Macaca mulatta: one gene and its partner. The protein of the gene in region 1 interacts with the protein of each later gene in a biochemical or structural test. Links are inferred from orthologs where the notes say so. Each region holds a gene or a part of one and is shown on either strand. Other genes may lie near its edges. The genes, in order: H2AC20 and UBR2.

Region 1 (14,594 bases):
CCCAATCAGGAAAAGGCTGGGACCCGGCTGCGCGGGCTTCGTCCAAAATACACAGAACGGCTGGTATCCACAGGAGACCCCATCGCACAGCAGAACTGGTGACCGGACACAAAAGGTGCTGCCAAGCGTCAGTCATACACAGCTGTCACGCAGTGTTTGCGGAACCTGGGCTGAATCGTGCCCTGGAGTTCTCTTAAATAACAGCCGAACTCAGCCACTTCGTTTTAGAATGAAACAGACCCAAGAAGCCACCAGGGCGCCAGTATGGGGCGGGAGTGGGGGCGGGTAAAGAGGCGGATTCCCAACATCCTAATTGAGAACCGACTCCTGGGAATGCTAAGCAGCACAATGAGTGAAGACACGCTCTAGATTCAAAAGCAAATCCAATCATGCACCGGGGACCTCAAGTTCCAAATGGTTAAAAACCTACGTGTGGCATTTCCCATGACCTTTACGCTAAAATTACTTTATGAGAAGAAACTAAGGGAGTAAGTGAACAAGCTCTTTTCTAGTGATTAGGTGGGTGGCTCTGAAAAGAGCCTTTGGAGTCAAGCAGCCGGCGACTCGAGCGAGCGAGCGCCAGGTCCCGGCAGGGACTCACTTGGAGCTGGTGTACTTGGTGACTGCCTTGGTGCCCTCGGACACGGCGTGCTTGGCCAGCTCGCCGGGCAGCAGCAGGCGCACGGCCGTCTGGATCTCGCGGGACGTGATGGTGGAGCGCTTGTTGTAGTGCGCCAGGCGGGACGCCTCTCCCGCGATGCGCTCGAAAATGTCGTTGACGAAGGAGTTCATGATGCCCATGGCCTTGGACGAGATGCCGGTGTCGGGGTGGACCTGCTTCAGCACCTTGTACACGTAGATGGAGTAGCTCTCCTTGCGGCTGCGCTTGCGCTTCTTGCCGTCTTTCTTCTGGGCTTTGGTGACGGCTTTCTTGGAGCCCTTTTTAGGAGCCGGAGCGGATTTTGCCGGTTCAGGCATGGTAAGACACAGTACAAACGCGGCTTAGCCAAGAAAAGAAGTAAGAGAATGGGCGGGCCTGATTCTTTTATAACCACCTTATGCAAATTAGGGCTCCGAAAGTCATTCATTTCCATTGGTCCGTGTGCGGACCTTGCGTTTTCAGCAATGCGTACGCAACAACACCGACTCTTGACTTGATTGGCCGGTTCTGAAGCCATATTAGGACCAATGAAAAACTCGTTCTAGACCCCACCCCTAGGAAAGCTTATAAAGGCTTTCCTCTTGGTTCTCTTTCAAGCTTATTTTGTAGCGAGGTTCTGAGCATTGTCTGTGTTTAACCTTGGTTTCAGTCATGTCTGGTCGTGGCAAACAAGGAGGCAAGGCTCGCGCCAAGGCCAAGTCGCGCTCGTCCCGCGCTGGCCTCCAGTTCCCGGTAGGGCGAGTGCACCGCTTGCTGCGCAAAGGCAACTACGCGGAGCGGGTGGGGGCTGGCGCGCCAGTCTACATGGCGGCGGTCCTCGAGTACCTGACCGCCGAGATCCTGGAGCTGGCGGGCAACGCAGCTCGGGACAACAAGAAGACGCGCATCATCCCTCGTCACCTCCAGCTGGCCATCCGCAACGACGAGGAACTGAACAAGCTGCTGGGCAAAGTCACCATCGCCCAGGGCGGCGTTTTGCCTAACATCCAGGCCGTTCTGTTACCAAAGAAAACTGAAAGCCACAAAGCCAAAAGCAAATAAATGCAGACAAACAAACCAAAGACCAAAGGCTCTTTTTAGAGCCACCCAAGTTTTCAAAAAAAGAGCTAATGCGCTATTTCGTGATCAGCCCTTCATTTGACACTTTGGTGGCTCTTAAAAGAGCCTTTGGGGTGAATGAGTATGGTGTCAAGCCTCTTAATTACTTGTTCTTGCCAGGCTTGTGACTCTCCGTTTTCTTGGGCAACAGGACAGCCTGGATATTGGGTAAGACGCCGCCCTGGGCAATGGTGACACCCCCGAGTAACTTGTTGAGCTCTTCGTCATTCCTCACGGCTAGTTGCAGATGGCGAGGGATGATGCGCGTCTTCTTGTTGTCCCGAGCCGCGTTGCCTGCTAGCTCCAGAATTTCCGCGGTCAGGTACTCGAGGACCGCCGCCAGGTACACCGGGGCGCCTGCCCCCACCCGTTCCGCGTAGTTGCCCTTGCGCAGCAAGCGGTGCACTCGCCCCACCGGGAACTGGAGGCCAGCGCGGGACGAGCGCGACTTGGCCTTAGCGCGGGCCTTGCCTCCCTGCTTTCCGCGTCCTGACATTACGGCTAAAATTGCAGTTACAGCTTCTTTTACAAGGAGAAGAATGTGGAAAGAATAACCAATTTGATGTAATTTATAAGAGCTACCGGGAGGGGTGAAGGGAAGTCGTTTGATTGGCTAAAAGCGGAGCCGTATCCAACAGCCAATAGAAAAACAGAAAGCCGCCTCTTGGTTTGCATCCTGCCCTGAAAGGAAATGACGGATTTCGTAAGTATCTACCAATCGCTGAGAGCCACATTAAAGCCCCTTATTTGCATGGCAGGATCTTTAAAGAAAGTAGGCTTTCAAACAAAATGTCTTGTACTATGGGGTTTTGCTTTGCTTTGTTTAGTTTACAGCCGGTAAATCCCAACATGGACCCTAAGAAACTGCAGAAGACATCCGTAGACTGAGAGTTACTCTCACGCAAGAGTAGGGGATTCTGAAGCCAATGATCCCCTTGAGCTCTAAACTACTAAGTTCCGCCCTTTCTGTCTCGTCACAGCCAAATTCCCTTTAAAAATACAAGTACTACTAAGGCTGCCTCCTTTCTCGCCCCTCAACTTAAGTCGCCCGCAGCGACTCCGCCCCACCCCCACCCGCCTGCACTCCTTGGAATTCAGTTTGACCGAGGCTAGATCTGTCATCTTCTTGACCTCCAGGAGGCGGCCTTGAAGCTTACTCCCTTGGCTTTCAAAATGTCGCCCTGCGTTTTTCTTCTTAGCTCGCCGACTTTTCTTATCCTGCTTCCCCATGCCATCTCTAAATCTGCGAGTCCAGCTGGATTCTGCTTCTCTATCTCCAATTCTTCACTTATCCCGAAGAGTCTTACCCATTTATATGCTTTCAACTAACATCCAAATTTGTTTCAGAAGCTCAGACCCTTGTGCCTAACTGCTTACTGAATACTTCAACCTACTACTTGTCCCAACGAGCACCTCAAACTCAAACTCAACCTCAGCCTATTCGAACGCGAACTCCTGCAAACAACCTCCCCTCTTTGCCCTCTTCCTGAAATGCGCCAGCATACTTACAGATAACTAAGCCGAAATCTACTCTACTCTTCCCTTTGTCTCAGCATGTCCAGTCAGTTGCTTCCTTAATATCCCTTCAATCTTTTTCTCCACGCTCCCTTGTCCACCTCATCATCATCCCTTAGATTTCAGCAACAGCCGGGAAAGGGTAACTTTGCTGTCAGGCATTAATTGCTGGTGTGACTCCAGCGGCCTTAGAAATCTTTCCTGAAAGCTCTTCTTTTTTTCTTTTATCCCATATAACAGATGAACCTGAAAGCTCTTGTGTTTCTTCCTCCTCAACGTCCCATCTCTGGGAGTTCTACATCTCCTACACCATTCTCACCCTTTCCTTAGTATCCCTTAAGGTCAGGTAGAATAATAGAGAGAAAAAATAGACTTGTGGTTTTTTTGGTTTTTTGAGGCGGAGTTTCGCTCTGTCGCCCAGGCTGGAGCACTTCTCAGCTCACTGCCACCTCCACCACCACCTCCTCTACCCCGCCCCCACCCACCCGGGTTCAAGCGATCCTCCCACCTCAGCCTCCCAAGTAGCTGGGATTACAGACGCCCACCACCATGCCCGGCTAATTTTTGTATTTTTAGTAGAGATGGGGTTTCATCTCTACTAATGTTGACCAGGCTAATCTCGAACTCCTGATCTCAAATCTCGAATGTTGGCCAGGCTGGTCTCAAACTCCAACCTTATGATCTGCCCACCTCAACCTCCCAAAGTTCTGGGATTACAGGCGTGAGCCACTGCACCCGGCCAGAAAATACTTAAATCTTATTATTTGACACCTTTTCTGATGTTTCCTCCTTTATTCTCACCAGTTTATTCAACTGGCATTTATTGGATGTGTGCTGTTGGGCAATGGGTGTATAGATAATTGAAAGTAGTACAAACAAGTCTGTGATGAAATGCCTCCAGAAAATGGAGGAAATCTGGTGAACTCTGAGAGTTAAATTAGTTAAAATCAGCTACGTCTAGAGATTACTCCTGGTAAGAATGCTGGTATAGATTTGGGGAACACCAAAGTTCAGACAGAGGTGACCAGGGTGTAACCTAAGATCCTTCTAATCCAATTGATTATATCATTTGAGAAGATGAATGTTAACAGAAAGGTGCAGTCTACATAGAGTCCAAACAGGTGGCAATTGTAGTAGAAATATGTTTTCACCAACAATAAAATATATCTGGCAGAGGCAAAGTTTGGCCTACTAGAAAAGGGTCCTTGGTTATGAAAGCATCAGCCTTTTCTCACAGCCTGGGTGAAATATTTCTGAAGACTATCCAAGTTCCTTCATTCAGATTCTGTGCTCAATTAACAACTTTCTGATTGTTCTATTCCAAGATAAACACATAAGACTGAAGTAGGGGGAGCCAGTTATAGAAAGATGTTCATCATAGAATTCAATGAATTTGCATTTTGGACTATTCATAAATTTCGTGTAGTTTGTTAGCATGGGTCCCTCCCCAAGAAGCCAGTCAGTCCTGGAAGTTCTAATAGTGTCAACTTTTCAGACCTAAAGGGCAGAGAAAAAAACCCAGATGATAGGGGACCCTACCATAATCCTGGCACCCCATAAGGCCCTGCTTGAGGGGCATGCTGACCTTCCTTTCTTTCTCTGACCTCCTCTTTTTTTTTTTTTTTTTCCAGACAGAGTCTCACTCTGTCACCCAGGCTGGAGTGCAGTGGCAGAATCTCAGCTCACTGCAACCTCTGCTTCTTGTGTTTAAGTGATTCTCATGCCTCAGCCGACAAATAGCTGAGATTACAGGCATGCGCCAGCACATCCAGCTAATTTTTGTATTTTCAGTAGAAACAGGGTTTTGCCATGTTGTCCAGGCTGGCCTCGAACTCCCAAAGTGCTGGGATGACAGGTGTGAGCCACTGCGCCTGGACTTGACCTCTGATTTCTTTTTTACTTATATCACAGTGTTCTGTGCCATAAGAAGGGTGAAAGAAAAAAAAAGATTATGTTGAAACCCTACTATGATAAACCCTACAGTAGCAACTGCCTACAAAGTAGATAAAATTATGTGTTTCACAAATAAACTGAAGCTCACAGGGATTAAAACAATTGCTGGGCTGAGTGTGGTGGCTCACGCCTGTAATCCCAGCACTTTGGGAGACCAAGGCAGATGGCTTTTACCCAGGAGTTTGAGACCAGCCTGGGCAACATGGCGAAACCCTATCTCTACAAAAAATACAAAAATTAACTGAGTGTGGTGGGGCACACACCTGTGACCTGTGGTCTCAGCTACTTGGGAGGCTGAGGTTGGAGGATTACTTGAGCCCAGAAGGCACAGGTTGCAGTGAGCCGAAACAGCGCCACTGCACTCCAGCCTGGGCGACACAGCAAGACTCTATCTCAAAAAAAAAAAAAAAAAATTGCTGAAGGTCACACAGCCACATGATTAGAATCTAGGTCTGCCTGACTCAAAGAACATGCTCCTCACGATGTCTAGATGTTGGGCTTAATGAAGTCATTTAATTTATCCAGCCATTGTTTCTTCCTCTGTACAAAAAAAGGAAGAAAGAATTATTAGAGGAGAACTTCCCTACTCCCACACAAATATCCTTGCTGTGCCCACATCTCTTTGTTCATATCCTGGTGACAGCACTCACCATTCGGTACTGTGCTTTTTTTTTTTTTTTTTTTTTTGAGATGGAGTTTCGCTCTGTCGCCTAGACTGGAGTGCAATGGCACGATCTCCGCCCACTGCAGCCTCTGCCTCCCAGGTTCAAGAGATTCTCCTGCCTCAGTCTCCCAAGTAGCTGGGATTACAGGAATGTGCCACCATACCTGGCTAATTTTTGTATTTTTAGTAGAAGTGGGGTTTCACTGGATTTGCAAACTGCAAGGTCCTAACCAAAGTAAGTCCTATAGATGCCATCTTTGTAGCAGCTTTCTAATCAATTTACTTCTCTCTAGCCCATCTTGTGCCTTCACTCAGGTTATCTTTCACCCAGACTACCAACAAAGACTTTTCTGCTCCTCTCCCTGCTTCTACTCTTCCCACTCCTCACTAGAGTGGCCTTTCTAATAAACATTCTGATTCTTTTCTCACCATCTACTCTCTCCCCAGGTGATCACATACCACACCTCAGCCCCACCCTCATGATCTCATTTTATCTTCAACAACCCCTAAGAGATGTCTCAAACATACTTCTCAGATGCTAAAATTAGTGGGAAAAAAAATAATGGAGAAATAGGAAAGTAGATAGACTTAAAGTATCTTCCACAATTACAGACAGAAAAGGAATTTTATAGTGGAAAAGCCTGACAGATACCATCTTAATCAAATGATCAGAATTATCACTAGTAATAAGAAAAATAAAGATCACGTGCCCTGGTAAGTTTCACAGAGAAGAATTCAACATTACTTCTGCAGTATTCTGGCCAAAAAATGCATGTGCTAAATTTTAATCATAAAGAAACATCAGACAAACCCAGATTGAGGGACATTCTACAAAATAAATGTCTGTAACTTCAAAACTGCCAAAGTCATGAAAGACAAAATCTAGGAAACTATTCCAAGTTAATGGAGAACAAAGAGATATAACAACTGAATGCAACATGTGATCCTAGATTGGATCCTGGACCAGAAAATATTTCTTTTCATTTTATATATAGGATAGAAGTGAACAATTGGCAAATTTTGAATAAGGTCTGTAGATTAGATAATAGTACTGTATCTATGTTAATTTCTAGAGTCTGACAGTTATATTCTGGTTATGTGAGAAAATGTCTTTTTTTTTTTTAAGTAAATATACATTAGGATTCTCCAGGGAAACAGAACCAATAGTAGATAGATTGATAGATTGACAGATAGTTTTATTATAAAAAATTGGCTTTTTGATTATGGAAGCTAATAAATCCCAAGATCCCCGAGATCTTCAGGGTAAGCTGGCAAGCTGGAGACCCAAGAAAGGTGCTGATATAGTTCCAGTCCAAATCCAAAGGCCTGAGAACCAATGGTGTAGTTCCAGTCCAAAGGCCGAGTCTAAGACCCAGATGGAGCCAGTGTTTACTTCTGAGTCTGAAGGCTGGGAAAAGCCAACGTCCCGGTCTCAAAGCAGTCAGGCAGAAGGAAGTCTCTCTTACTCAAGAGAGGGTCCTTCTTTTTGTTCTAGTCAAGTTTTCAACTGGTTGGATGGGACCCACCTACATTAGGGAGGGCAATTTACTCCGTCTACCAATTCAAATGTTAATTTCATTCAAAATACCCTCACAGAAACACCCAAATTTTGCCAAATATCTGAGCACCAATCCTCTAGAAGTTGGCACATTAACCATCACAGGCCAGGCGTAGTGGCTCACGCTTGTAATCCCAGCACTTTAGGAGGCTGAGGTGGGCAGATCACCTGAGGTCGGGAGTTCGAGACCACCCTGGCCAACATGGTGAAACCCCCTCTCCACTAAAAACACAAAAATTAGCCAGGCGCCATGGTCCACACCTGTGATCCCATCACTTTGGGAGGCTGAGGCAGGCGGATCACTTGAGGTCAGGAGTTCCAGACCAGCCTGGCCAACATAGTGAAACCCCATCTCTACTAGAAATACAAAAAAATTTAGCCGAGTGTGGTGGCACCCACCTGTAGTCCCAGCTACTCAGGAGGCTGAGGCAGGAGAATCACTTGAACCCAGAAAGTGGAGGTTGCAGTAGGCCAAGATGGCGCCACTGCACTCCAGTCTGGGTGACAGAGTGAGATTCCATTAAAAAAAAAAAAAGAATTTTGGGCCAGGCACAGTGGCTCACGCCTGTAATCCCGGTAATCCTGGGTGGCCGAGGAGAGCGGATCACCTGAGGTTGGAGTTCCAGACCAGCCTGATCAACATGGAGAAACCCCGTCTCTACTAAAAATACAAAATTAGCTGGGCATGGTGGCACATGTCTGTAATCCCAGTTACTCAGGACACTGAGGCAGGAGACTTGCTTGAACCCAGGAGGCAGAGGTTGCAGTGAGCCGAGATCATGCCATTGCACTCCAGCCTGGGCAACAAAAGCAAAACTCCGTCTCAAAAAAAAAAAAAAAAAAGAATTTTGCACCTAACTCAAGTGAGTCAGCAGAAATAATTATTATTATTTCGTTATTATTATACACACATACATTAAAAGAGAGATACAAAGACAAGTCTGGCAAAATGTTATCAGTGAATCTAGGTGAATAGTGGATAAATGGGTTGCTCATTCTATTAATCTTGCAACTTTTCTGGAAGTTTTAAATTTTTTTTAAAGGCTAGGGAAAACAGTGTATGTCATAGGTTAAATTTCTTGAGTGTGATAAGGATATTGTGGTTATGTGGTAGAATATCTTTGTTCTTAGGAGATACATGTTGGAGTAGTTAGGAGTGAAATGTCATGCTACCTGCAAGTTATTTTCAAATTGTTCATCCAAAAAAGTACATAAATATATTTTAAAGTATATGTAAAGTACTTAAATATATGAGTATATATGTACAAGTATAAAATAAATATAAATGTAAAAAATGGTGGGCCAAGTGAAAGATAGAGGGTGTTGCTTTGAACTATTCAACTTTTCTATGGCTTTGACGTTTTTCAAAATGAGAAGTTGGGGAAAAACATTTAGAAATATGTAAATATATTAAGGATACAAAATAAAATTTAAATAAATTTAAAAGTTAAGAATCGCCAAGTGTGGTGGCTCACGCCTGTAATCCCAGCTCTCAAGGAGGCAGAGTCAGGAGGATAGTTTGAGCCCAGAAGTTCAAGACCTGCCTAGGCAATATAGCGAGACCCCATTCTCCACAAAAAGGAAGTAAAAACAAAGACAAAAATATATATATAAGCGTAAAAGTTAAGAATCATCCTGGAAAAATTACATCCTGTTACATCCCTGTTTAAAACCTCAGTAGCTTCCCACTACTTCTAGGATAAAGACAAAATTGCCTAACAAGGGCTACAAGGCCTGGGGAGGTCTGGGCCCTTCCTCTCCTCCCGGTACCCTACTCATCATCATCTGCCCCGTAGGCTCCAACCACACATAACCACACCCTAACTACACCAGAAAGACTCCCTCAAAATTCTCTCTCCTCTTGTCCTTTACACATGTGGCTACCACAGCCAAAACCTCACTATGAGGGACTGAGAAATGGATTTTCATGTTGTTTCCGCCAAACTGTTTCCCTAAATCTCGGAAATATTCTCTGCCCGCCCGTCATTCCACCTCTCCAACCCCGGCCAAGTCTGGGTAACTTGCCTCCGTAGCATCCTGTGTTTATCTCATCGTAGCACTTAGTACCCAGTACTGCAATTGTCCGCTCACTTGTTAGTCTTCAGTGCTGTGTAAACTCCTTGAAGACAGGGTCTGACTTGACTCTCCAGTCCCCAGCACTAGTCTGAGGCACAGTAATTATGTATTCAATCAGACTTCCATTTTCTTGTATATAAAATAAAGGAATTGGGCTGGATGATCTACAATATCTATTGGCAGTAAAATAGATCTAATAATCCCAACCCCAGCTGCGCGTGAAATCCCTTTTTCTTCGCGTTGCTGGGTTGAGAGTTTCCGACGACCTTACCGGTGGGGAGAATCCAAGACTACAGTTCCCACGAGCCCTTAGGGCTCCACGTGGTGCCTGCCCCTCCTACTAACGCACAGCAAGGACTCCATTTCCCAGCGTGCCTCAGGAAGGGCGCCAGGACTGCATTTTGCTCGGCAGCGTCTAGAGTCCTGGCCTTGAGCGGGAGTCGCAATATCCGAGGCTGAGCGGCAGGTAAAAGGGGCTTCTCCTGGGCTTTACAGGGATCACAGGGGCTTCGGCCCAACCACAAGTACGCAGTTGCACATGCCCTACATTTGCCCATTCTTTGCAAATCCCGTAAGGAACGAACGCGCCTCGCTTGCGGGCCTTTCTAATCTCCGCTTGTCCCTCCACTCCCACAGCTGGAGGTCGAATTCACCGTGTCACGTAGAGAAAAGGCGGTGTCTCGAGTCTCCCTGTGTGGCGTTGAGGCGGTCTCCCGACAGGAGCTGGTGTGGACACCTGGGCGTGGGGTTAGAGCAGATGCGGGGGTCGCGGGGCGGGTGTTGATACTGTGCTCTCACCAGGCGGATCATCTCGACCCTCACTCCTCGTGTCTCTGGCGTAGCCGATGCTGAGTGGTCGCCTGGTCCCAGGTCTGGTCTCCATGGCTGGCCGGGTCTGTTTGTCCCGGGGCAGCGCGGGATCCGGGGCCATCGGTCCAGTGGAGGCCGCCATTCGCACGAAGCTGGAGCAGGCCCTGAGCCCCGAGGTGCTGGAGCTTCGCAACGAGAGCAGTGGCCACGCGGTCCCGCCTGGCAGTGAGACGCACTTCCGCGTGGCCGTGGTGAGCTCTCGTTTCGAGGGACTAAGCCCCCTACAACGACACCGGCTGGTCCACGCAGCACTGGCCGAGGAGCTGGCAGGGCCGGTCCATGCACTGGCCATCCAGGCACGGACCCCCGCCCAGTGGAGAGAGAACTCTCAGCTGGACACTAGCCCCCCATGCCTGGGTGGGAACAAGAAAGCTCTAGGAACCCCTTAAGCCCCAAGAGAGGGGCAGGACCAGGATCCGAATGGGCTGAGTGAGCACGAACTACTGAGGCCTTCCCTTCGATATAGTCCAGGATTTGAAAGGGATGAAGACCCCTGAGCTCTATTCTACTGGGGTCCATACATATTCTCCGAAGATAGCAACTTGCTTCAGGTCAAAGTGAACCCAAGAAAAGAGAAGAATCACTCACTACTGCTCTTGCCCTGGACTATTCAGGAAGGGCAGCCCGGATGTTCCATGTTAAATCGTGACAGAACTGCACCAAACCTGATGAGTTGGAAACAATCCTATACATTAAAAGAAATTACACTATGAGGCTGTGTTCTTAATGGACTGCTGAATCAGTGCCACAGGTGTTCTTGGGAGAAGAAAGATACCTGTAGACTAGTCGGGAACGGCTTTATGAGGGAAGTGATCTACTTGGGTCTTTAAAGGAAAGCACAAAATTAACCAGAAAGGAGAGGATAGGTGCTGCAGGCAGAGAGAAGAACCTGAGCAAAGGCATAGACACTGGACTGAGCAGTGAGTTAATGGACAAGACAGGCGATATAGGCAGGGACACATTTGAACTTCATCTCAGGGGAATGTTTGCCTTTTTTACAGCCTGTCCATTTCCAAAAAGTAGTACTTGTATTTGTTTAAAAGAAAAATGTTTTTAAAAACCACTAAAGCAGTGAAAAGAGAATAAGAACTAAGAAAATTATTAGAGATGATGGAGAAACCTTTATATAGCCCCCCTTTTTTTTTTTTTTTTGAGACGGAGTTTCGCTCTTGTCGCCCAGGCTGCAGTGCAGTGGCGCAATCTCGGCTCACTGCAACCTCTGCCTCCTGGGTTCAAGTGATTCTCCTACCTCAGCCTCCCCAGTAGCTGGGATGACAGGCATGCACCACCACGTCCAGCAATTTTTTGTATTTTTAGTAGAGATGGGGTTTCACCATGTTGACCAGGATGGTCTCAAACTTCTGACCTCAGGTGATCCTCCTGCCTCAGCCTCCCAAGGTGTTGGGATTACAGGTGTGAGCCACCACCCCTAGTGTTTTTTTGTTTGTTTCTTTAAGACAGAGTCTCTGTTGCCCAAGCTGGAGTGCAGTGGCACAATCACAACTCACTGCAACCTCCACCTCCCAGGTTTAAGCAATTCTCCTGCCTTAGCCTCCCAAGTAGCTGGGACTAGAGGCTTGTGCCACCACACCCGTCTAATTTTTTGTATTTTAGTAGAGACAGGGTTCACCATGTTGCCCAGGCTGGTCTTAGACTCCTGAGCTCAGGCACTCTGCCCACCGCCTCCCAAGGTGCTAGGATTACAGGTGTAAGCCACCATGCCCCACAATGTAGCCCTTTTTGAGCATTACAAATGTTGTCATATTTCTGAGGGGAGCTCAAGTAATGTCTATAGAAGCAACTTTCTAATAATCTCAATGTGGAAATTATTAGAGAACAAAACTTGGTTAACATATATCTTTTTTTTTTTTTTTTTTTTTTTTTTAGACAGTTTTGCTCTTGTTGCCCAGGCTGGAGTGCAATGGCCTGATCTCAGCTCACTGCAACCTCCGTCTCCCAGGTTCAAGCAATTCTCCTGTCTCAGCCTCCTGACTAGCTGGGATTACAGGTGCCTGCCACCATGCCCGGCTAATTTTTGTATTTTTAGTGAAGACAAGGTTTCATCATATTGGTCAGGCTGGTCTCAAACTCCTGACCTCAAGCGATCCGCCTGCGTCAACCTCCCAAAGTGCTGGGATTACAGGCATGAGCCACCACGCCCGGCCCGGTTAACATATATCTTGATCATTTCTAGCTAAAGAATTTAAGGTGCATGTGGTTGGGCAGTAGGGAGTTATTAACGAATTTTGAGTACAGACATGCCAGAGAGCATTTGGGGTCAGATGGATCTGGCAGTGATGTGTAAGTGAGTTGGCATGGGAGATTGGAGGAAAAGAGATCAATCCAGAGTGAAGGTAGAACCCTGATTTACAGGTCATCTGTGGGAATGGAAAGGAAGGAGTTGATTTGAGAGCTACCATAAAATCAGAAAATGGTTTGATTAGAACAGAAATGGACTAGAGTGAGAGGGGAGTCAAGGTAACCCCAAGGCAGTAGTTTTCAGATTTTCTTTTAGGTAAGAACTCCCATGGAGATTGTTTAAAATGTAGCTTCCGGCCAGTCGTGGTGGCTCACACTTGTAATCCCAGCACTTTGGGAGGCCGTGGTGGGCGGATCACCTGAGGTCAGGAGTTCGAGACCATCCTGGCCCCATATCTACAAAAATTAGCCGGGTGTGGTGGCAGGCGCCAACCACACTTAGGAAGCTGAGGCAGGAGAATCGCTTGAACCCGAGAGGCAGAGGTTGCAGTGAGCTGAGATCACACCATTGCACTCCAGCCTGAGCAACAAAGCGAGACTCTGTCTCAAAAAAAGGAGATTCAAGGTCCCCATCCTTCCAAACCAAGAAAAAAAAAGGGTTCTGATTCAACAAGTCAAGAGTGGAGTCTGGAGTGTGTATTTTTAAAAAGCATAACAGAAGATTTAGGGGAAAGTTGGTTCTATTCTTATGAAATGTTACTCCCAAAGTTTTCAAATCTGGGAGACTTAGAGGGCCTTCCATCGGTAGGGGAAAGATCAAGGTAGAGAGGCCAATTTAGGAAATAAAGCTGGTACACCATGTTATTCTGACCTTCAGTTTGGAAAGCTGTTTTTCCATCTCACCATTTTACCCTCCAAGGCTGTTAGGAGAATTGGATGTAGGTGGAGAGTCACAGAAGCAGGTATAGCCATTTTGTATTTTGAGGATTTGTTTCTGTTTTATTTTTCATCAATATTTTTCATTGCATTTTTCACATCAACAGAGTTGGGTTTGGGGTTCCCCAGGAGAGCAAGGGAGATGGATGGGTCCCTCCCAGGGGTGCAAGGAAGAGGGCTACGTCCAGCATGTGAGGAGTGAGGGACAAGGGCACAGGGCATACATTCATACACTGGGCACTGGAGGAGAAGGCAGTCTTTTGAGCACAGACACCAAAGAGTTAAACAGTCACCACCTGGTACAGTGTTACAAAATGGGGGGAGTGACCACAGGGTTGGGGTACCGGACGCAGCATGACGAAGGTGAATTTTGATTTTCTTTTTTGTTATTTTCACTTTTTTCCTTTTTAACTTTTTTTAAACATTTTACAAACATCTAAAAACTACAACACATCACAGCTACAGTGGGGTGAGGGGAGGGCACCAAAGAAAGCAGCCACACAGAGTAGGGTGGGACGGGGCAGCCTAACCTACAGAGGCTATTGTGTGGAAGGGTAAAATGGGGAAACTGAGGCTTCTAGTCCCTGCGTTAGGGGTCCCTCACTCACTGCTCAACCTCTCCCCACTCAGAGGAGCTGCCAGGAGGGCCCCTGCTTCTTGCCTCTGCCCCAGCTCCTTGTGCTTTTTGATCTGCTGGTTTGACCAGATGCCTGGTTTCTTTCCCTCCCCTGCTCCCCTGCCTGTGAGGGGACAGGTCGGGGGTATGGGAGGGCAGCTGTGCTGTTCCCACCTGTGCTGTAGTGGGTGGAGCCTCTCACTCCAGAGGAGGCCTGTGCTTCTTAAGGAGGGAAGCAGATGAGCCTTGTCAGATGCCCTCAGATCTCCCGAGACTGTGGGTCTCTTATCCCTGGCTGGCCTAGGGCTCCTCCATCCCAGGCTCAACACAGAAACCAGATTAGGGGAGGGACTATGGGAGGCAGGGTTGTGTGTGCGTCCGCTGAAATTAACCCTTGGCTTATATTTGAGGACAGTATAGTGATACCCCCCGCCCCATGGCACATGCA
Region 2 (15,872 bases), on another chromosome or scaffold:
ATTATGTTGCCAAGGATGGTCTTGAACTCCTGGGCTCAAATGATCCTCCCACCTTGGCCTCCCAGAGTGCTAGGATTATAGATGTGAGCCACAATGCCCAGCTGAGATTTTTCCATTTAAAATATAGCAATAGATTTTCACTTTTTTGCCTGGTTCTTGAAACTATGAATGGCTAGTACATTGCAAAAAGTTTTATACGATTTTCAGACTGTCCTATAAAGTCAGTTTGAGTTGTTCCATCTCCCCCTACCAGTTTACTGAGCATCTCTTGAAAAGTGCATGGAAGATATTAAAAGTAGGGTCGTTAGAAATAAACCAGATACTTGGTTTTCATAAATACACAGGAATTTTATAGCTTAGAAACTTAAATTTTCACCTGCTCCTCTCTAAAAACTAAAATGATATTCCACAGGTCTGCTAGAAGAAAATGACCAGAGTTTGGAAAGTATCTGGAAAACACTATGCAACTGCCTACGTTAAGTCTTCCTCCCTGATTTATTATTTCATTATCTTCAAAGCAAACTACGGCTTTGTTATGAGTTGTCATGAGCCAAAACTTACTTGTTAAAAATATTTCTTGGAGGAAGCAGCAGAGGAATAACAGTATTACTCAAGCATTCACAAAGGGGGCAAAGGAATTCTCCATTTTCTACATCATAGCTTGTATGTAAGCGTAATCTCTGTTGCCTTCGCTGTTCTTTAGCTTGAACGGAATCAAAATACCTTTACAATTAGAGAACATGAGGTATCAAAACAATGGTAATTTATATAAATGACAGCCACAAGCTTCAACATTTTAAATAATTTGTTTCCACAAATAGTTCAAAAATGAAAAATCTTAAAACTTTAAATTATTTTTAACATGATTTTTGAGTGATTTTAAAAATCCAAATGGATTAAAGGTTCTAAAACAGGAAAATAAAAAAAAAGACTGCCATGTAAAAAAGCATTTACAAAGCAGCAACAAAAATTTCTTGGTGCCACTGTTCTCTTGCCACTTCCCCAAGGCTGGTGGCTATTTGTTTGTTTTTTTGAGATGGAGTGTCGCTCTGTCACCCAGGTGGGAGTGCAGTTGCACGATCTTGGTGCACGGCAACCTCCACTTCCCACATTCAAGCAATTCTCCTGTCTCAGCCTCCCAAGTAGCTGGGACTACAACGTGGTGGCTAGTTGTTAGGGGTAGTTCATAATAACTGGGTGAGCATAGTTCTAGAATAATATTGATTTGTTGGTTTTGCAGAAGCATAGAAAACACCAAGGTAGAACAAATTCAGGACATCTCATCTTATCACAGGGAGCCAGTAAAATTTTGGGAAGTAACAAAGCAAATATTAACATCTATGGAATCAAGAGTTGTCCACCCTGGACCCAAAGAAAGACAACATTACCCTTCTAGGGTTTATCCTACTGTAAAAACCCTTTTCTTCATCCACAGACTGACACAGATCCACTTCCTTCTTTGGAAGATAAAGAAGAGACTTGGATATAAAGCTAAATTAAAAAATATATCTGACATACTTTACATCTATGACAAGGCAAATAACTTTTGTTATTAGGCAAAAATATAGATTTTTTTTCTTCAACATTTTTAGTTCTTTTCCTTTTTTCTAGAATAAAATTTCCTCTACGTTAAAAATTTTGAGCCCTTAAACTTCTCTTGAAAATATTAAGCATATACATTACCTTTGCCAACAATGGGCATGCATAATGTGCCCACAGCTACTAGTGTGTGTTCCACAAGACAGATCAGGATGCATGAATAATGGATCATATTTTTCTGCATTACAAAACAAAAACAAAAACAAAAAACAAAACAAAAAAGTGAAGCATTTAATTTTCCTATAACAAATGTGCAACTTTAAATTGTAAAATCTTTGATAAAGACTTGTAAATTTGAAATGAAATGCTAGTTTATTCCTTTTGAGATACCAATAATTTATGCAAGACTTTGGATTATTCAGAAAGTAGGACTCTAATTTTCACCATCCACAGCAAATTAATTAAACATTCTCAAATTGTAAACTGAAATTAGAACGATGAATTTAAATATATCCAATCTTTTGAACATTTCACACTTTCAGGGTACTGAGGTATTCCAATTCCTCCCATTGTACCCTGAACTCCAGGTAAAAGAGCTACTCTCTTCCCTGGGCTGCCTTACGTGCGTTCAGGACAGCTGGGTTACAATGATCGCTAATAAAAAATGTTTTGGCAGTAATGGGGCGCCCACTAGAGGACAGACTGCTTAACGACATTCATACAGCAAATAATCACATCAGAGCCGAAGTGACAACAAAAAATCTAAGCATAGACCAGATCAGATGGGGAAAAAAAAAAGTAATTCAGAGTCTTCTGTCCTGGTGTCCTGGTGCTAATTTTTATATTCAAATGGGATGAAAAATCAAGAAAAACAAGATGGATGTCTGGCTTCTTTTGGAATTTTTTGAATTCTTTATATAAATTAGTATAATCTTAGAAATTTCCTAACACTCTAGAAAGAATTATTTTTAATTTGCTTTAATAGTTTTAATTTGCTTTAACACTAGAACAGTGCAAATGTCAAAGCATTAAGAAAATCCACTTAGAGCCAGCTAATGCTTTTTCTTCAAGAAGTAACAAATTAAATAAAATTAACAACTCTGTCTTTGGCCTGGAATGAAATTTATAAAGCACCAAGTTTAAATGGCTATTTCTTTTTTTTTTTGGCAGAGTCTCGCTCTGTCGCCCAGGCTGGAGTGCAGTGGTGCCATCTTGGCTCACTGCAAGCTCCTCCTCCCGGGTTCACGCCATTCTCCTGCCTCAGCCTCCCGAGTAGCTGGGACTACAGGTGCCTGCCACCATGCCCGGCTAATTTTTTTTCATATTTTTTAGTAGAGATGGGGTTTCACTATGTTAGCCAGGATGGTCTTGACCTCCTGACCTCGTGATCTGCCCGCCTCAGCCTCCCAGAGTGCTGGGATTACAGGCGTGAGCCACTGCACCTGGCCTTTAAAAAAAAAAAAAAAAAAAAGACAGGGTCTTGCTCCGTCGCCCAGGCTGGAGGGCAGTGGTGCAATCTCAGCTCACTGCAACCTCCACCTCCTAGGTTCAAGCAATTCTCGAGCCTCAGCCTCTTGAGTAGCTGGGACTACAGGTGCGCGCCACCACATTCAGCTAATATTTTTGTACTATTAGTAGAGACGGGGTTTCACCATGTTGGCCAGGCTGGTCTCGAACTCCTGACCTCAGATGATCCACCTGCCTTGGCCTCCCAAAGTGCTGGGATTACAGGCATGAGCCACCATGCCCAGCCCAAATTACCATTTTAAAAGATGAAGCAGACCAATCTTTAGTAAATAGGATACAAAGACTTTCTTTAAAGAGAGAAGGCAACTCTAAAAGTGGCTCTCAAACCTCCTTTCACACTGCAGTGTGAAAGGCATGGGCTAAAGAAGTGCTCTGGGAATTTCCAAGACACAGTTCCTATTCTCAAGAAGTTTACTGTGTATCACTCAAGCATATGCACACAGAGCACAACCTACAAGCAGAGAAATAAATGTGTCAGTGGACAAAATCATGTACAGACTGGATCTCCCTGCTTTACTTCCTCAGTTGCTGAAAGAGGGCCCTCAACTGTCCTGCACAGTAATCTGTATCTCAAGAATCTGCTTTCTGGGGAACCCGATCTGTGGTGGTATCACTATTCTAAGTCAGAATTTGGCTCAAGGATTGCCTCTTACATAGGTAACTCTCTATCACTGTTCTCAGGAGATTCCACTCAGGCTCTATCAATAAGACAAAGCAATTATTATTTCAGTGTGTCAACAAATGACCAAGGCTTTGCAAGTGTACTGAAGCATGGGAAAGACTGTGAAATGCCAAAGTATGTAATGTTACATCACAAAGAAAAGCTTTACTTTGAATCCCTGCTATTTATCAGCTATATGATTCAGATGTAACTTTCTGGAGTGGTTCCACATCTGCCAAGTGGGGAATTCCTGCCTAAGTTACCTGCCAAAGATACCATCCAAGTCTATGGAGTCATTCTTAGATTTAAAAAATCTCAATGTATCATCAACCACATTAACTGGTAGTTGTTATTAATCGGGAAGATGAGGATCTAGCTATGACTTACCTGGATCTTGAATAAATTTACTTCTGTTTTTTGATAATACAGTTGATCTCTGAACAAATGCTGCCAAGACCATTGCCCTGCTTTCCACTTTAACTTCTTGCTCCTCTTGACACAATATACATGTAACGAATTGTCTTTGTTCAGGAACCTGAGTTTGTGTGGGGCCCAGCGCTGTAAGTGTCATATCTGAAACCACAGGGCTGCAATACAAAGGTTATGAATATAATTAACGATCCCAAAAACTTTCTACATAATCATAAAATAGCAGACTACAGGTATGTATGTGTGCATATACATATATATCTATATATTTTTTAAATTTTATTTTTTTCTTTTTGAGACGGAGTCTCGCTCTGTCACCCAGGCTGGAGTGCAATGGTGCGATATCGGCTCACTGCAAGCTCCGCCTCCCGGGTTCACGCCATTCTCTTGCCTCAGCCTCCGGAGTAGCTGGGACTACAGGTGCCCGCCACCATGCCCAGCTAATTTTTTGTATTTTTTAGTAGAGACAGGGTTTCACTGTGTCAGCCAGGATGGTCTTGATCTCCTGACCTCGTGATCTGCCTGCCTCGGCCTCCCAGAGTGCTGGGATTACAGGCATGAGCCACTGTGCCCGGCCCACTTTTATTATTTATTTATTTTTTTGAGATGGAGTCTTGCTCTGTTGCTTAGGCAGGAGTGCAGTGGCATGATCTCAGCTCACTGCAACCTCCACCTCCCAGGTTCAAGCGATTCTCCTGCCTCAGCCTACTGACTAGCTGAGATTATAGGTGCACACCACCACGCCCGGCTAATTTTTTTTTTTTTGTATTTTTAGTAAAGACAGGGTTTCACCATGTTGGTCAGGCTGGTCTCAAACTCCTGACCTTGTGATCTGCCCGCCTCGGCCTCCCAAAGTGCTGGGATTACAGGTGTGAACCACCGTGTCTGGCCAGGCATGTATATATTTAACACATGGTTTTGATAACTTGGATTGTCAAGTCTTTGGTATGTATCAAAACCATCTCCTTTAATTCTCACAGCAATCTAATCTGCAACACAGATGTCACACACTCTAGATAACTGAGTGTAGTGTACTCATTCTTTCATGAATGTCCAAGATCTTCTGCAGAAAATACCCTACTATATTACCATATCTATATTCAGAGATTTCTAAGATTAAATCTTCTAAATGGAGGTCACAAAATTTACCTACGAATTCTAATAAATTACTTTAGGTTTAAAAATATACTTACAAGGAAAAAAAGCAACACTGCCCCTAGTTGGGAACAACTGGTCAACAAATTAATTTTTTTTAATACCTATTATCAAGAACAGCAGAGGTTGAGGCATCCAGTTCTAATGTCTGCTGAAAGAGTTCTTTGTTTTCATCAATAAAATGCCGCTGCATTTCAGACATCTGAGCCATGATCTTTTCTCTGCGCAGTCTGGCAATCTCTGCTTTTCTCTTCCTCTCAGCTTTGTCTTTGTCCCTTGAACTCTGAAATTATGCTCCATTCAATTAGACCATTAGATGCTAAAACACACATTTTTTTCCAAAGCAGAAATATCTTTATTGTAAATACCAATTAAAAACTATTCTACAATCTCACTTATTTAAACAAGAGAAAAGACTCTTAAGTTGACCTAACATGTTTTAAAGGAAAAAAGCAGACAAAAAATTGCTACAACAAATAGAGACAAATAGTGGCATATTTGTTGGAATTTCAATGTTGTAACTGGCAACTTACTGTAGATAAATTTAATTTGTTCATACTGAACTTGTTATAATTTTTTAGCATTATCACACTTTACTGTTTATACCTCTTCCATTATGGTTCCTTCTGTCTCTGTCACGGGACTGGTAGGTGAACTCTCCCTCATCTTTTTAACAGCATTAAAAGTCTACAAAAAAAAAAAGTATCAGTATCCTGTATGAAATATCATCACAATGTACACGTAACAAATATTTAATATTTCTCACAAAAAGCAGAAGAATGTAGGAAATTTTACCTTCAATATCCACCGAATCATGTCTTTGTGGACTTCTAGGTAGGGAGCATTTTGTAGTGTTTCCAGCATAGCTAGTATGCTAGGAGAGTTTTTTGGCGCTTCACCAGGTTCTATGTCAGAAAAATAAAAGGCACAATAACAACAGCTAACACTTCATAGTACTTATTCCTATGCACAGGAACATAAATGCAGTTGCTTATAACACCTATTGCCCATAATTTGATTATGACTCTACCAAAGAGATTTTCAATACTTCTTGAGAATGTGACATATGTGCCTTTTACAAACAAGCTGCCAACAACTAGAATTCTTTAAGCATTCAAAAGTGACTTTTAATAGCAAACGAATTTGCTAAAATGTATTTTAGCAAAATTATATATAAATTCAGCTAAAAATAACTGGTGTACTTGAGATTTTACAGGTCTAAAAATAAACTAGCATTAAGAGGTGCACATATGTACAAATACGTTTATTTGCTCTGACCATTGCCTTTAATAAAAACTAGATTCAGAATAAAATGAATTTCTTCCCCTAGGAATTCACTGTTTATTTGAATATAAGAGTTAAGTCCATATTTTCTATTAGTCTGTAGTCAGAAATGTTCAATTATCGATTTTCTTGATTTTGGTGCTGCCATTCTGGAAAAATGTGCCTTTTTCCTAAGAGGGAAGAGATTGACCTTTGTGATCTTTAATATTCTATCACATCTAAAACTCTGTGGCGTGCATTAGGGATGTGACTCTAGATAAGGGAGAGGTTTCTTTGCAAATAAATCGTGTGTCTTAATTATGTAAAATGTCTAAAGACAAATTAAGAGTAATGTTGAGGGAAAATGATGATCGTTTAATAAAAAGGAAAGAGAAAGTAAGAGAGAACCTAATATATATATATATATATATTTTTGAGACAGAGTCTTACTCTGTTGCCCAGGCTGGAGTGCAGTGGTGTGATCTCAGCCCACTGCGACCTCCACATCCTGGGTTCAAGCGATTCTCCTGCCTCAGTCTCCCGAGTAGCTGGGATTACAGGTGCCCACCACCATGCCCGGATAATTTTTGTATTTTTGGTAGAGACAGGTTTCGTCATGTTGGCCAGGTTGGTCTCGAACTCCTGACCTCAGGTGATTCACCCACCTCGGTCTCCCAAAGTGCTGGGATTACAAGCATGAGCCATCGTGCCTGGCCAAGAACCTAATATTTTATAGTGATGAGTGAATGAAATTAGGGAGTATTCTGTGTGGTTATCCTAAAATAAACACACCAGAAACAAAGAAAGCAAAAACCACAGTATTAATCCATAGAAACAATACGGTAGAGAAAAAGAATAGGTAAAAACTGGCATCCATGAATAAAGTGTTCAGTGGGGAAAGGTGGTTTCTCCTCTTTCTCTCATTTACTTGGATGAGAGCAAAAAGGAAAACTAGAGATCTAGAAGCAAACAAAATTACTCCTCCCTGTCCCCTGGTAGCATAATTCTCACAGTTATCATTTAGGAAGAAATGGCACTGAACACATTTACAGAAATAATCCTTTTTAATCAAAGCATTTATAAACTCCTATCATAGCACCATAAATTCATTTAAAAACACCTCAGCAAATAGCTGACTACCGGTCTGTGGCAGGGAAAGTATAAGATGAGCTTGGGCATCTTTTGGGCCAGAAAGTGAGGTGGTACTTTCTGGCCCAAATGGGGCTGGGTGAAAAGGACACAGAAACTGACTAAATAAACTCCCACTGATCAAAGTGGGCATGATTTGAGCATCAAAAGGAATAATCATTATAAGTGACTATAAAACACTGAATAAGTAAAATGAATAATATTTTAAAAAACTCTAAACAAAAAACATTCAAAGTTGCCACAATTGCAGGTAACTATCAGGCCAATGGCTGGTTATGAAAATTAGTAAATGAAAAGCTTTTCTTTGAGACGTGAAATATTATGTCTACAACAAAAGGTTCAAGAAAGTACGTAAATATAAAAGCAAATATAGCAAACTACTAAATCTAGGTAGTAGGTATATGAATGTTTACTGGACAATTCTTTCCACTTGTCTATATGTTTGAAATCTTTAAAATAAAAAGCTAGAAAAACTCCCTGGCCTTCTTTCAAAAAGTCACATTTCTTTATATGAAATGACAATCTAATCCCCTATAATTTTTATTTGTTTTCAATACTATAGAATCTTATGTCAACCACAGCTGACTGTAACTTTGAACTTAGCCCTAGATATTTTTATAAAAATATAACAGGGTTTAATATAGTACCTTTACTACACAGATGAGTACATATAGCCTCAAACATTTAGATTAAATGTTACCCTTTTAGAATCCATATGACCAAATAAGAGAGGTTATTAAGTGATTTCTTAAAATCATTTATATCGAGTTAGTTTAGTAAAAAGATATATACATACTTGATATCTTCTGAGTGAAGGTAAATGTTACTACATGCTCTTCTGTGACATTCTCTAAATGTTGTTTTTCTTCTTGTAGTGCCATTCCAATTAAATGTAACACCTTGAATAAATGTTTTGTAACTTTTAGTAACAATTAAAAAAACCAAAAAAACCAAGCACATATTTTAATAAGAAATAGCAAAAAAGAATTATTGAAAAAGATAAATCAAACTATTAAGTACTAAATGCAATTAAAAACAATTTGAAGTACTAATTTTTTTTTTTTTTTTTTTTTGAGATGGAGTTTTGCTCTGTCAACCCAGGCTCACTGCAACCTCTGCCTCCTGGGTTCAAGCGATTCTCCTCCCTCAGCCTCCCCAGTAGCTGGGATTACAAGCGTGTGCCACCATGCCCAGCTAATTTTTGTACTTTTAGTACAGATGGGGTTTCACCATGTTGGCCAGGCTGGTCTCGAACTCCTGACCTCAAGTGATCCACCCATCGTGGCCTCCCAAAGTGCTGGGATTAAAGGTGTGAGCCACCATGCCTGGCCTTGAAGTACTAATTTTTATTAAATGAAAAGACTGAGGTTCATTTTCTATTAAACAATAATTGGCAAGAAAAACAAAATTTTCTACTTCAATGAGGAAGAAATTTCAATCGCAAATTCTTAGGGTAAGCTAAAATTACCACCACCTGTGACCAGCAATTCACATAATATGTAAGTTTTATTCTATACCTATACTACAGACTTAAAAAAACCTTCCAAGAATCAGTGGTCAAGTAAGTACAAAGCTAAAAGTATCCCCTATGTAATTATTCAGTCTATGACACTATATAGTTTAATTTCTCTAAGGACTAAATCATCATCTGAGAAAGACAAACTTTTTATCTCTAATGCCTTATCATTTATAAACTTTAGAGTCCTTCAATGTATCTCACAAAATATTCTCCATCAGACTTCTAAGAGAGTGTATTAACCTATTTGTTTTTTTACTGCTATTACCCCATGCCCAAGTTTTTCTGTGTTTTTTGAGACAGAGTTTCCCTTGTTGCCCAGGATGGAGTGCAGTGGCACAATATCGGCTCACTGCAACCTCCGCCTCCCAGTTTCAAGGGATTCTCCTGAGCCCTCCTGAGTAGCTGGGATTACAGGCATGTGCCATGATGATTGGCTAATTTTTGTATTTTTAGTAGAGACGAGGTTTCACCATGTTGTACAGGCTGGTCTTGAACTCCCAACCCCAAGTGATCCACCTGCCTCGGCCTCCCAAAGTGTTAGGATTATAGGGGTGAGCCACTGCGCCGGGCCCACACCCCAGTTTTTAAAGGAGATATGTGTGTGATGTCTCTGTATCTTTCCCTCCACAAGGGAAGACTGTGGTTGTCAGAGACTTGGAAGAACTAGGTGACATAAAGCAAATGTACACGTAAGGTAAATATTGTTCACACCTCTCTTCTCCATTATTTCCCACAAATCTTTTGTTCATGTAATGCTGACAGTACACGACAGCTAGTACAGCTGTACTAGTAATGAGCTAGTATACCACAGCTCCATGCTTTTACACTTTAAATAGGCTTATAAATAGGAGGGCATTATAAGAATACACACATCTTAGCCAGTGAGACAAAAAGAAAGAATGATAGCTACTAAGCCTTCTGAGGAAGGCTCCAAAATTTGAATTCGAATCCTGGTTTTACTGCTTTCAAGCTATTAATATAAACCCTCAGGGAATGTTTCTGAGCCCATGTCATCATCTTTAACACTGGAAAAAAAGTTTCCCTCTAGAGTTCTGAGGATTACAAATGCTGTATGCAGAGTGCTTAGCATGGCCGGGCATGGTGCTCACGTCTGTAACCCTAGCACTTTGGAAGGCCGAGGTGAGTGGATCACCTGATGTTGGGAGTTCGAGACTAGCTTGGCCAACATGGTGAAACCCTGTCTCTACTAAAAATACAAAAAATTAGCTGGGTGTGGTGACAGGCACCTGTAATCCCAACTACTCAGGAGGCTGAGGCAGGAGAATTGCTTGAACCCCGGAGGCAGAGGTTGCAGTGAGCCAAGATCACGCCATTGTACTCCAGCCTGGGTGACAAGAGCAAAACTGTCTCCAAAAAAAAAAAAAAAAAAAAAAAGTGCTTAGCATGGAATAAGGCATAAAGTAGACATTCTATTTAATGAATAATTGTTATATCACTTAGTAGAGTTATATGGGAAGTAAATGGAACCTCACTGAAACTTGGCTTCCTCATCTAACGATGAGAAGAAAGTGATATCTATTCATGGGGTGTTGTGTGAATTCAATGAGATAATGTAAAAATGACTTACATTAAAACTATAAAGTAAAATACAAACAAGGGGCCAGGCATGGTGGGCTCACGCATGTAATCCCAATACTTGGGGAGGTCGAGGGGGGAGGATTGCTTGAGTCTAGGAGTTCAAGACCAGCCTGGGGAACATGGCAAAACTTTGTCTCTACCAAAAATACAAAAATTAGCCAAGTGTTGTGATGCATGCCTGTAATCCCAGCTACTTGGGATACTGAGGTGGAGGGATCGCTTGAACCCAGGAGGCAGAGGTTGCAGTGAGCCAAGATCGCATCACTGCACTCCAGCTTCCTGGGTGACAGAGCCAGATCCTGTCTCAAAAACACAAAAACAAAAATAACACAAAAAAGGTTCCAGACTTGCCACGTAACTAGCTAAAGGACCATAAGTCTATGAGTGCCAGTTTCTTCAACTACAAAATAAGGATATGGATGATTCAAAAAAAAATTTTTGTTTTGGAAAATAATTAGATTAGAAACATATATAAAAGATAACACATTACATCAATATCAGAGCACTACATATATAAAGACCAGGACCAATCAAGGAGAGAATGACTGCCCAGTGGGACTGAGGTAATAACAACCATGTGGTATAAAAAATCTGTCTGGCACTTGTTTTCACTGTCAGACACAAAAGCAGTAACACTATATTCAAGTTAGGAAAACACAGTATGTTTCGGCCTCATTTTCCTCTGTATAGATACAGACAAGAATATTTTGCTTGTACTATAAAATACTAAAATATAAATAATAAATGTCTTCAAACCTACCCTTTGCAGCATGGACTCTGACCAGGCATATCCATTATGTTCCACAGCCCATTGCAGAATTGTTCCCATGATGCACAGCATGACATCTGACTGCAAAATGTTAACCAGGCTTGCAAACAGAGGGCAGAATGGAGGCAACACCGGAGGTGGGAGTGCTGAAAATACAGTTGTTATTACTATCGGTTTCTTTTACAGAACATGCTTTAGAAACTATCCCTTTGTTACTTTTGATAGTTTTAACTCAAAAATATTCATTAACGCACACCTTAAAGCTATTATTTTACGTTCTCAAGGTCAAATCTGTAAAATGAGCCACATAAGTAGCAGCAGTACAAAAGAAAGTCTGTCTTTTCCCCTAGGAAGGTTTTAAGATCTGAGATAAAATCAAACCAGAGGAGACTTAGTACAAACTATTTCTATGTTAGCATATTTATTATTCCTTTGAATAGGAGGTTGTTCACTAGGAAAGCTTACATTTAAATATTCATTCCACCAAGGACAATCATCATAGTTAATAGAAAACAATGTTTAACATGTAAAAAAGGGGCATGACATTTTTGGAAAGATTAAAAATACCTGTATCTTCTCTATTTTGTCTTTTCATTTTCCGTTGAGCTTCTTCTGCCTAATAAAAGATAAAGTTATTTGGGCAGGGAATTAGTCATATAAAACATATCCAAAACTAGTGACATAAGTCCATCTTTGTTGTATTATTTTCTTTTTTTTCTTTGAGAGTCTCGCTGTGTCACCCAGGCTGCAGTGCAGTGGCACGATCTCGGCTCACTGAAATCTCCGACTCCCAGGTTCAAGAGATTCTCCTGCCTCAGCCTCCCAAGTAACTGGGACTACAGGTGCCCACCACCATACCTGGCTAATTTTTATATTTTTAGTAGAGACGGGGTTCCACTATGTTGGTCAGGCTGGTCTTGAACTCTTGACCTTGTGATCTGCCCACCTTGGCCTCCCAAAGTGCTGGGATTACAGGTGTGAGCCACCGCGCCTGGCCCCTTTTTTTTTTTTTTTGAGACTTAAGTCTCACTCTGTTACCCAGGCTGAAGTACAGTGGCATGATCTCAGCTCACTGCAACCTCCACCTTCCGGTTCAAGCAATTCTCCCTGCCTCAGCCTCCATAGAAGTTGAGATTTACAGGCACCCGCCACCAAGTCCGGCTAATTTTTGTATTTTTAGTAGAGACAGGGTTTTGCCATGTTGGCCAGGCTGGTCTTGAACTATTGACCTCAGGTGATCCACCCGTCTTGCCCTCCCAAAGTGCAGGGATTACAGGTGTGAGCCACTGTGTCTGGCCAAGGATGAAAATCTAAAATCAGAGAATAACACAACTGAGGCCGGGGTGCGGCAGCTCACACCTGTAATTCCAGCTACTCGGGAGGCTGGGGCAGGATAATTGCTAGAACCTGGGAGGCAGAGGCTGTAGTGAGCCGAGGTCTGCACTCCAGCCTGAGTAATAGAGTGAGACCCTATCTCAAAAAAAAAAAAAAAAAAAATTCTATCCTTAGTGTTCTAGTCCTCCCCCAAACTGATACATTAAGGTTATTATTATTATTTTTTAACTAAAAGAATCCCCAAATGAGTTATCTATTACTTCCAATTAGAAGAGAAACACGTACAACCCCAAACCAAAAAAACTTATTTAAGTTTGAACTCTATGACTTCATCAAAAACTAAATAAAAGCTTTATGTTTAAGTTTTGTTTAATGCTGTTATGCTGTTTATTGAAAAATCACGTTAAGAGAAGATTGCTAAAAGGCAGATTTTTTTGTTTTTTTTTTTTTGAGATAGGGTCTCACTCCCATCGCCCAAGTTGGAATGCAGTGGTGCAATCATAGCTCACTGCAGCCTTGACCTCCTGGGATCAAGTGATCCTCCTATCTCAGCCTCCCGCGTAGCTGGGACGAGAGGTGCATGACACCATGCCTGGCTAATTTTTGTATTTTTAGTAGACGTGGGGTTTCACCATGTTGGCCAGGCTGATCTTGAACTCTTGAGCTCAAGCGATCTGCCTGCCTCAGTCTCCCAAAGTGCTAGGATTACATACCCCGCCAAAAAGGCAAAATTTAATTACCTAGGAATGATTAGAAAACCTTCATGAATCTCTATGAAAAAGCATGTTAAATAATACCAATTCTGAAATGTGCATAAAATGGATTAACTGATTATAATACAGGTTGAAAATTTGTTTTAAAAAACTATACCCATATATGTATAGGTATGTATTATATAGATCTTATATACGTATGCACAAAATGCTAGGGGGAAGCTCCAAAATGTTAGGTGAGGGTATTTTAAGTAATTTCTACTTTCTTCTTTATATATTTTCCAAATTCCCTATAATAAAAATGTATCATTTTTCAAGCTGCAAAAGCAATAAAAAGTTGTTTAGGAAAAAATAATTCAAGCCAGACACAGTGGTGCATGCCTGTAATCTCATCTACTCAAGAGGCTGAGGTGGGAGGATTGCTTGAGCCCAGCAGTTTGAGGTTGCAATGCTCTATAATGGCATTGTGAACTAAAACCTAGCCTGGGCAACATGGTGAAACCCCATCTCTTAAGAAAAACAATGCAACCCTTCCCTGCTACATTTTAAATTTTCCCAATTACCTTGGACTGTTCTGCCCTTGAAAAGTGATAGAAATACAAGTTGAACTCTTTGGCACATTCTGGTTTCAGTTCATACATGCCTCGTCCTGTTAATCCAGGTTTCCTATGAAAGAAAGGACCTTAGAATATTATTACCAAAGCCATACACTAATTTATGAGATAGTCTTGGATATTAGAACAAGAAAGCAGAGCTCTCATATACTGCTGGTGGGTGTTAAGCTACAACTATTTTCAGTGGTTGATTTGGCAATCTAAATCCAAATTCTTACATGCATCCGTTTTATTTAGCACATCCACTTGGAATTTATCCTAACTAGACAAGAGAACCTAATGGACACTGCAGTGGCAACAATTAAAAAGTCTAACAACGGGAAACAAGTAACAAATTACAACATCTCCAAACAACTGAACACCATTAACAGTGATGATAATTTCTCTATTTTCACATGTAAAGACCTCTGTGTTAAATTTTATTAAGCGGAAAAAAGCAGGTACACTATTGGGGTTTAGAGAACTTTCCTAAGCAAGTTATAAAACCCAGAAGCCAGATATGAGACAGAGTTTTAAAAACAGAAATGACATGAAGTTAAAAAACAAGGGACAGACTGGAAGAAAGTACTGTGATGTGTTAAACAAGAATTGATATTTCTAATATATTATAAAAACACTTTTGGAACAAGAAGATAGGGACAAACAACCATAAAGAAAAATGCATTAAAGTATGAAAAAACAAATGGCCAATAAACACATGAAAAGATGCTCAACTTCCCTGTTATTACAGTAATGCAAATTAAAATAAGGTTACTAAAAGACTGCTCATACTAAAGTGTTGACAAAGTTGCAGGGCACTCTTCATACACTGCTAGTCAGAGTATAAATTGATGACTTTGCCGGGCGCGGTGGCTCAAGCCTGTAATCCCAGCACTTTGGGAGGCCGAGACGGGCGGATCACGAGGTCAGGAGATCGAGACCATCCTGGCTAACACGGTGAAACCCCGTCTCTATTAAGAAATACAAAAAACTAGCCGGGCGAGGTGGCGGGCGCCTGTAGTCCCAGCTACTCGGGAGGCTGAGGCCGGAGAATGGCGTAAACCCGGGAGGCGGAGCTTGCAGTGAGCTGAGATCCGGCCACTGCACTCCAGCCTGGGTGACAGAGCGAGACTCCGTCTCAAAAAAAAAAAAAAAAAAAAAAAAAATTAAATTGATGGCTTTTCTTGGGAAGGCAATTAGGAGGTATGTATCAAAATGTAATACAAGCTTTCATTTTGATCTAGCTAATCCTCAAATACTTTCACAGTCAAAGATACACTTGTTAATGCTGTATGTACAAGGATGTTCAATATTTGTTTATAAGAGAAAATCTGGAAGTTATGTATTACACTTACAGGGAAGAGGTTAGATACATTACAGTACATGACTACAGGGACGTGAAAAAGGTCCTGGCGCCCTACAGGGATGTGAAAAAGGGCCTGGCGCCATAGCTCAGGTCAGTAATCTCAGCACTTTGGGAGGTCAAGGCGGGCTCGATCATCTGAAGTCAGGAGTTTGAGACCAGCCTGGTCAACACGGCGAAACTCCATGTCTACTAAAAATACAAAAATTTGTGGTGGGGTGCCTGTAATCCCAGCTACTTGGGAGGCTGAGGCAGAAG

What was found.
Region 2: the proteins of H2AC20 (region 1) and UBR2 form a complex in vitro, tested with the Homo sapiens proteins (2 studies listed by BioGRID, with this or other methods). The link is inferred for Macaca mulatta from reciprocal best matches to the Homo sapiens genes H2AC20 and UBR2.

The regions. Positions count from the first base shown.
Region 1 is NC_133406.1:117,251,989-117,266,582, reverse strand, and holds H2AC20 (histone H2A type 2-C), read left to right. Parts: upstream 1-1,255; 5' UTR 1,256-1,312; coding exon 1,313-1,702; 3' UTR 1,703-1,722; downstream 1,723-14,594. Other genes in the region: H2BC21 (histone H2B type 2-E), read right to left, coding at 598-978; H2AC21 (histone H2A type 2-B), read right to left, coding at 1,863-2,255; BOLA1 (bolA-like protein 1), read left to right, coding at 10,371-10,784. UniProt on the Homo sapiens protein: Core component of nucleosome. Nucleosomes wrap and compact DNA into chromatin, limiting DNA accessibility to the cellular machineries which require DNA as a template.
Region 2 is NC_133409.1:139,477,031-139,492,902, forward strand, and holds part of UBR2 (E3 ubiquitin-protein ligase UBR2), read right to left. Parts: intron 14,325-15,872; coding exon 14,222-14,324; intron 12,227-14,221; coding exon 12,178-12,226; intron 11,757-12,177; coding exon 11,602-11,756; intron 8,623-11,601; coding exon 8,520-8,622; intron 6,217-8,519; coding exon 6,107-6,216; intron 5,999-6,106; coding exon 5,918-5,998; intron 5,595-5,917; coding exon 5,416-5,594; intron 4,315-5,415; coding exon 4,115-4,314; intron 1,778-4,114; coding exon 1,684-1,777; intron 724-1,683; coding exon 562-723; intron 1-561. UniProt on the Homo sapiens protein: E3 ubiquitin-protein ligase which is a component of the N-end rule pathway.